Linked DNA regions of Oryctolagus cuniculus. The protein of the gene in region 2 interacts with the protein of the main gene of each other region in a pairwise test. Links are inferred from orthologs where the notes say so. Each region holds a gene or a part of one and is shown on either strand. Other genes may lie near its edges. The genes, in order: CENPF and NDEL1.

Region 1 (4,581 bases), on a different chromosome or scaffold from region 2:
CAGCACCCATATGCGATGCTGGCACTGCAGGCGGCAGCTTTACTCGCTATGCCACAGCGCTGGCCCCAAAAATATTACATTTCAAGAAAATAAAGTGGAATAGGTACTTTAGGGTTAAGTCACTGGGAGTACCAGTTCAAGTCATGGCTCTTCAGCTTCCAATCCAGCATCCTGCTAATGCATCCTAGGGTACACCAAATGATGGCTCAAGTGTTTGGGTATCTGTTACCCAAGTGGGAAACCCTCGTGAAGTTCCTGGCTGCTGGTTTCAGCCTGATCCAGTCCTAGCTGTTGAAGGCCTTTGAGGAATGAACCAGAGGATGGAAGTGCTCTCTCTCTCTTGCTATCTTTTTCAGGCTTTCAAGTAGATGAAAATAAAACAAACATTTTTCTTAAAAAAAGAGAGAGACATGTTTCTATCTTCTCTATCCTCTGAAAGGTAACTACCAGTAACTCTAATCATGAAGAATGTAATATACTTATTTGATTTCCCCTGTGGTTTTTTTTTTCCCCTCTGTTTTGGCTTCTTACAACTTTAACTACTCAAGTTTTTCTTCTTTCATTACATAAAACATGGATATTTTTGCTTTTAGCTTTTCAAGTAAAATAGGTACAGAAAACAAAAAAGATGCATGACAAGGCACTTTGCAAATCCTCTTTGTTCCAGCTTCACATCATTAATTATCATTCATATTTTGTCCCTTTCCCCCCTAAAAAATCTCCTCGGAGACTTGTGTAGGGACATCACTCCCTGCATTCCATGCCAGTTCCTCACAGCAACAAGAATCCCCATCCCCTTCCAATGAATGCATGCATGAGCAAAGAATGAAGGCCATTATTACTACCGAAATCATTCTAAACAGTGGCAAAATCAAGCCCTGGACAGACATGAAGCAGAAACAGGTAAACAGCCTTAGTGATTGAAAGGATTCAATTCCCAGCAGTCACTTAGAAGCTGTGTGACTCCACACGTTACTTATCTGCTCTGTGCCTTAACTGCTTCATTTCTAAAATACTAATAAAATATTTCCTAAAACATTTTAAATAATAGCTCCTGGTGACCTTTCTACAAGTGTTAGCAATTCTATTTGTAACTGAAAACACCTTTGGTTGTTTCAGCCTATGTTACAAGTAGCCACCTCCTTCCCAAACACATCTTAAGATAATTAAAATCAACTGCAAGTAAAGGATAACAATCATTCTTTACCTTGGCCTTTTTAACATAAATGAAAGAAAAACCATCCCTTTTTCCAATTAGTCTGACAACAAAGTTGAAAATACACGCTTTACTAAAAATAGTAAACATTTTTAAAAATAGTAAAATTTTTAAAAATTACGAGGGAGAAGCAAAGCCTTAGAAAACATAAATTAGATATGCAGCCAGTTCTTTATTGGGGAGGGGGAGCTGTTGGGGCAGTCTCAGTTATGGAAAGACACTATCTTAAACCCCACTCCTATTTAACCAAAAAATAAATAAAAAATAAAAAAAATTCCACCTCTCGACTAACAAAGGACAGGAGACCCTGTCTTAATAGCCAACATCTATTTCGCTTATTTGTTCAGGATGGGAATACAGTACCCCAGAGGCACACAGTTACACTTCCTTAAACAATTCAGCCAGACACTCAAAGCCTTTTATGAAGACGTCAGAGCACAAGTATAAAAAGAGCAACTTTTCACTGATGATAGAAATGAGGGAAATAAACTGAGGCCAGACTGGCAAGGCCAATGCTCTTCCATTCCACAGCTAGAACATACTCGTCTATTTAAAGCAATTGCCAGACCCAAGCTAAGTATGATTGAGGCAGACTTGGACTCCTTCGGGATCCGCGGAACTGGGGGGGGGGGGGGGGGGGTGTTGCTGCTGAAGAGAAGCTCTGGACATGAAGGTTCCTGCAAGGGGGATTTGAAGGGCCCGTATCTTTTCCAGAAAATGCTCTCTCTACCCAAATATGTGGACAGTCTTCACGCCCGAACCACCTAATCCCTCCAAAGTCCCCAAGGCAACTCTAGTGAGACCCACCCGCCCCACGGCTGCAGGTCTTCGTGCCCCTCTTTTATCAGAACTCAGCAGCCCCCCCCCCCCAAAAAAAAAAAAAGAAAGAAAGAAAGAAAGAAAGAAAAAACCCGTCTCCTCTTCTAGACCTGGTTCCTCGCCGAAAACCAGTCGTGTTCTGTATTTTGGGGGCCTGAACACATAGCAGAGCCTGGCACGCAGGCGCGCCCAAATACACGGGAAAGGGGCGACAAAGAAGCCAGGAGGGCAGAAATGCTCTCGTGACGACCAACGCGCACGCCGCCCGGCCCCAAAACCCAGGCTCGCCTCTCCTAGATGCCACAAAGGCCCCGACCCGGAGGAGAAAACTGCTCCCCCCGGAGCGCGAATCCGCGACCGAGCGCGGCGGGCCCCGAGCAGAGAGGCACCGAGAGCCCGGCGCGCCTCAGCCGCCGCCTCTTCTCCGGTCCTGTCAGGAGGGAGGGGTCCGGCCGCCGCACCTGCAGGGGCCGAGAGGGCGAGCCCGGGGGCGTCCCCGCCCGGTACGCGCGCACAGAAAGCCAGCGGCTCCGCTACGCCCCCAGGTCGGAGCCGGAACCCAGGCGGGACGCTCACCTTTCCACCGGGGAAGGCAAAACTGCCGCCGAAAGTCCGATTCTGCCACAGCCTCCACAGGGTAAGAGCGCAGCGTCCAGTTCAAACCGCCCGCTTCCGGTCCCGACCCCCACGCCTATTGGGTGCTGTAAGCAGCTGTGGGCCAATCCGCTTCCGCGCCCTCAGAATGCCTCCTCGGATTGGTCCTTTCGGAGGGATTTGAAAAAAACGAATCCTCGCTACGGGAGGAGCCTGCGCCGCGTGAAGGTGCGTTTTTGTTGTTGCGGAAAAACGGAGACCACGAGCTTCCGCAGACGCCGGAGGCCCTCAGAACCGCTATTTCCGACAAAAGCCAGGGAATGGGCGGGCTGATTAGGAGGGCGTGGCTCCTCACCTCCGGCCTGCGGCGTTTGCCGTCTGGTTTTCGCGCTCAGACTGCACCTGTGTACCTATTTGTATGTTAAATTTAGGCTGCTGATACTAAGTGCTATGCTTGCTGGCCCTGCATTCTTAGTCCAGTGTCAGTCTGTAACCACTCCTCGACACTATTATTCCCACAGTATTTACAAGTTAACGGAGGTTTGGGGCCGGCAGGCCGACGATGTTAGGCCGGCGCGTACAACGCTGGCCCGGGGTTCGAGCCCCAGCTGCTGCACTTTCCATCCAAGCTCCCTGCTAACGCTCCTGGGAAAGCAGGCAAAGATGGCCCAAGTCCTGGGGTCCCTGCTACCCACTTGGGAGACCTGGATGAAGTCCTGGCTCCTGGCTTCTGCCTGCCAGCCCTGGCCGTTGCGGCCATTTGGGGAGTGATCCAGCAGGTGAAAGATTCTCTCTCTCTCTCTCTCCTTCTCTCTCTGTAACTCTACCTTTCAAAGAAATAAATCTTTAAAAAAACAAAAAGTTAACGGAGTCACCCAGAAGCTCAGTGATTTGAAACTGATTCTAGCTCCGCTGACCATATTTTTGAAGAGCTGCAACATGTGTTAATTGGGATTCTGGGCGAGGACCTTGCGGCAGACCCAACTCTTCAGAAGAGTGTCTTAAAACCTCGATGTAACTGCTACTAGTTTTGTATGTAAGAGGAGACTTCAAAAAGTTCATGGCAGGATGGATTCAAAAGATAAGATTATTTTGCTGCAAAAAAATTTTTTTTTAATCCACATGTGGTTTTTTCATAGTATATATTTTCCGGGAACTTTTTGAAGGCACCTCCTATTTTGCGTACTTATTTTATTTTCCTATTCCACTTAAAATAAGCTGCTGAAGGCAGGAATTCTGAAGACAGCGAATTGCTAAATTAATACATCTTCGACGCTATTGTCCTCAATAGGCTCCAAATTTTCCATACTCCTCTCTTTACTGTTCATTAGACTATTTCTGTAGCATGACTGCTCCTCTCCTTTCGTTGAACTTTGGTTAATCTTTCAACGCACAATTCAAATGGCACTGTCTTCATTACACCTCTCTAATTCTCACCCACCCCTTAGAAACAGGTATTTCTTAGGTCTTTCCTCTAAATTTTTGACCTCTAATGCTCTTTCTCCCAATTTCAAAATTTCTCTAATCTCCTCTAAGCACTATCTCTTCATTCTCTTTCTCAGAGGACAACTTTACCTGATGGTTCACAGAAATATAAGACTTGTAACAGGAACATCTTCAGTTTCCTGCCACCCAAATCTGCAAACTTGGCAAAATCTATACCCATGTCTCCCATGCATTTTTCCCGTTACAACCAAGGGAAACCTATTTCTGACACTTACTAAGGCTGAATAATTGCTGTGTTCTGGGGCTTGCAAACAATAATCATTAACTGTTTCTACTCCCCTAGGTCTTCCTATTAGCACTTAAATTGTACAAATCTTACCCTTTAAGAAAATACTTTCTTGGGGCCAGCGATGTGGCTTAGCAGGTTAAATCGCGCAGTGCCTGCATCCCATATGAGTGCTGGTTCGTGTCCCTGCTGTTCCACTACTGACCCAGCTCTCTGCTGG
Region 2 (3,808 bases):
AAATAGGGCAGAGTTCAAAGGAGAATTCATTGTGAACCAATAAGACAGATCTCTCATCCATGAGTTCACTACTCCCCAAGTGCCCTGTGCCAGGTCAAAGCCAAGAACTTAAAATTCAATCCAGGTCTCCACTGTAGGGGGCAAGAACCCAACTTCTAAAGCCATAACCTAATGCTTAATAGGGTATGCATTAACAGGAAGCTGGAATTAGAAGCAGAGCCAGGACTTGAACCCAGGCACTCTAGTGTGGGAAGTCTGCATCCCAAGCACTGTCATAATGCCAAATGCCAGCCCCCAAAAAATAAATACTTCATCAACTCATTTGCTTTCACTTTAAAATATTGTAGTTTGGAGATTACTGTGAAATCAATGAAATGCATTTCTATAATTTTATATGAGTTGGTATTTTTTATTATCACTATGAAACATTTTGTTTTAAAAAAGTAGTAGTTAAGGGCCAGCGCTTTGGCATGGTAGGCTAAGCCTCTGCCTGTAGCACATCCCATATGGGCGCCAGTTTGTGTCCTGGCTGCTCCTCTTCTGATCCAGCTCTCTGCTATGGCCTGGGAAAGCAGTGGAAGATGGCCTACCTGCTTAGGCCCCTGCACCCACATGGGAGACCCATAAGAAGCTCTTGGCTCCTGGCTTTGGATTGGTCCAGCTCTGGCCATTGAGGCCATCTGGAGAGTGAACCAGTCTTTCCCTCTAACTCTGCCTCTCAAATAAATAAATAAAAATCTTTATTTAAATAAAGTAATAATATCACTTTAAAATTAATTTCCTTGCTTTCAAATATTGAATTTTCAACCCAAAATTAAATTTTCCAGTTAGGCAACTAATGTATAGAATATTTCCTTGTATCAGAAAAGGATACAGATTATCCAACTTCCAAGGTCCAAATGAATTCAAAACAGGATCTCAAGAAGACACTTGCAAACTTGTGTTCATAGCAGCATAATTCACATAAGCCAAGAAATGCACCTACACCAAATATTCATTCATAGATGAATGCATAAAGAAAATGGATACAGGGGCCAATGCTGTGGTACAGCAGGTTAAGTCACCGCCTACAACGTCAGCATCTCATATGGACGCTGGTTTGAATCCCAGATGCCAAACCTCTAACCCAGCTCCCTGTTAATGCACCTGGGAAAGCAGCAGAGGATGGCCCAAGTCCTTGGTCCCCTGTACCCACGTGGGAGACCTGGATGAAGCTCCTAGCTCCTGGCTTTGGCCTGGCCTAGCCCCAGCAGATGCAGCCATTTGGGGAGTGAACCAGTAGATGGAAGATCTCTTTGTGTCTCTGTGTAACTCTGCCTCTCAAATAAAAAAATCTTAAAAAAAAAGAAAAAGAAAAAGAAGTGTCTAAAGTAGTGGAACTCAGAGAAACAGAAAGCAGAACTGTGGCTGCCAGCAGCTGGGGGGAGGAAGAAATAGGAAGCTGTTCTTCAGTGAGTATAGAGCAAGGTGCAAGAGTTCTGGAGGTCTGTTCCACAACAACGTGACATCTAACACCACTGCACTGTACACTTAAAAATGGTTAAGATGGTAAATTTAACATTATGTGGCTTCTTTTTTTTTAACCACAGTAATAAAATACAGAATGGTTTACACACTATGTAAATTATGAGAGACTCTTCAAGTGAATACACCAATCCCTCAGGGAAAAAGAAAAAGTCATGAAAAAAACAATCATTAAAGAGTCAGTAGGGTCTGGCGTTGTGGCACATCAGATTAAGCCACTGCCATATGGGTGCCAGTTCAAGTCCCAGCAGCTCCACTTCTGATCCAGCTCTCTGCTAATGCATCTGGGAAAGCAGCAGAAGATGGCCCAAGTAACTGGGCTCCTGCCACTCACATGGTAGATCTGGACAGAGTTTCAGGCTCCTGGCTTCAGCCTAATCCAGCAGCCCCAGGCGTTGCGGCCCTTTTAAGAATGAACTAGTAGATGGAAGACCTCTCTCTCCAACTCTGCCTTTCAAATAAATAAATAAACCTTTAAAAAAGAAAGGAAGTCAGTTCTTAAGCTTACCCTGGCTAGTGTCAGATTAAAAAAAGAATACTGTTAATATTTATTCTATTTATTTGAAAGGCAGAGTTAGAGACAGAAGGAGAGATAAAGAGATCATCTATCTGCTGGTTCACGCCCCAAATGGTCACACCAGCCAGGGCTGGACCAGGCCAAAGTCATAAACAAGGAGCTTCTTCCAGGTCTCCCACGTGGGTACAGGGGCCCAAGGACTTGGGCCATCTTCTGCTGCCTTCCCAGGCACATTAGCAGGGAGCTGGATCGGAAGTGGAACAAGTGGGACACGAACTGGCGCCCATGTAAGATGCCAGCACTGCAGGTAGCAGCTTAACCCACTACGCCACAGTGCCAGCCCCGACAAATATTCTTTAAACTATAAAATTTACCTCTTGCTTCATCCTTTAACCGCTGTACAGAGACCAACAAAGATTCCTTTTCATCAAGTTCACTTTCTAAAAATGCATTCCGTTCTATGGCCTGATTTAGCCTTTGTTCAAAGTCTTCCAGTGAAACTATTGTTGCCCTGGAAAAAAAAATTAACAGTCCATAAAGTAAGTAAATAAATAACATGTGCAAACAGCTAACACAAAAGGAAACTGTCAGTTTATCTCATGACATTCTTCACCTAGTCTGTTCCACCAAGTTCAAAGAGAATGAGCTGGTCTTTCTCCCAACCTTCTGTGGATTCAGGGTCTCTATTTCCATTCGGGCCATTCAGTAAATTCCTTAAAATTCCTTAAAGAAAGGCCAACTGTTACACTATTTATATTTTCACTGGATTTTAAACATGATACAGTCTCATTTATGAATTTTGAGGAAGAAAACTTTTTCTTTAAAGATTTACTAAGTTATTTGAGGCAGAGTTACAGAGGGAGAGAGACAGGAAAGTGTCTTCCATCTGCTGGTTCTCTCCCCCAAATGGCCACAACGGCCAGAGCTGGGCAAATCCAAAGCCAGGAGCTTCTTCTGGGTCTCCCACCTGGGTGCAGGAGCCCAAGCACTTGGGTCATCTTCCACTGCTTTCCCAGGCCATAGCAGAGAGCTGAATCAGAAGTAGAGCAGCCAGGATTCAAACCAGCACCCATATGGGATGTCAGTGCTGCAGGCAGAGGCTTACCTTACTATGCCACAGCACTGGCCCCAGAAGAAAACTTCTGAATATAAAGAAGCATGTAAGAATTTGTTTTGTTTTGTTTTTGTTTTGTTTGTTTGTTTTTTTGACAGACAGAGTGGATAGTGAGAGAGAGAGGCAGAGAGAAAGGTCTTCCTTTTGCCGTTGGTTCACCCTCCAATGGCCACTACGGCTGGCGCGCTGCAGCCAGCGCACTGCGCTGATCCAAAGGCAGAAGCCAGGTACTTCTCCTGGTCTCCCATGGGGTGCAGGGCCCAAGAACTTGGGCCATCCTCCACTGCACTCCTGGGCCACAGCAGAGAGCTGGCCAGGAAGAGGGGCAACCGGGAAAGAATCCGGTGCCCCGCCCGGGACTAGAACCCGGTGTGCCGGTGCCGCAAGGCGGAGGATTAGCCTAGTGAGCCGCGGCGCCGGCTAAGAATTTGTTTCTAACATTGTAAGTCCCAGGTTCCACTTCACTTACTTCCTGTCAGCTCTTTTTCCATCTTGCATTTCTCATTCATTCAACACCTACTCTGCAATTCCTGTCAATTGCCAAAATGTCTCTGGAATCTATTTCCTCCTCAACCTTCTCTCTGCCTTACTTCTTCTCCCTAAATGGATTACTCCCAAATGTTCTGCACTTCTCCGTGCTTCCAACGCCTCAG

What was found.
Region 1: the proteins of NDEL1 (region 2) and CENPF interact in binary tests that used the Homo sapiens proteins (3 or more experiments, as listed by UniProt). The link is inferred for Oryctolagus cuniculus from reciprocal best matches to the Homo sapiens genes NDEL1 and CENPF.

Annotation. Positions count from the first base shown.
Region 1 is NC_091444.1:28,874,401-28,878,981, reverse strand, and holds the start of CENPF (centromere protein F), read right to left. Parts: upstream 2,882-4,581; 5' UTR 2,612-2,881; intron 1-2,611. UniProt on the Homo sapiens protein: Required for kinetochore function and chromosome segregation in mitosis. Required for kinetochore localization of dynein, LIS1, NDE1 and NDEL1.
Region 2 is NC_091448.1:52,897,403-52,901,210, reverse strand, and holds part of NDEL1 (nuclear distribution protein nudE-like 1), read right to left. Parts: intron 2,553-3,808; coding exon 2,416-2,552; intron 1-2,415. UniProt on the Homo sapiens protein: Required for organization of the cellular microtubule array and microtubule anchoring at the centrosome. May regulate microtubule organization at least in part by targeting the microtubule severing protein KATNA1 to the centrosome.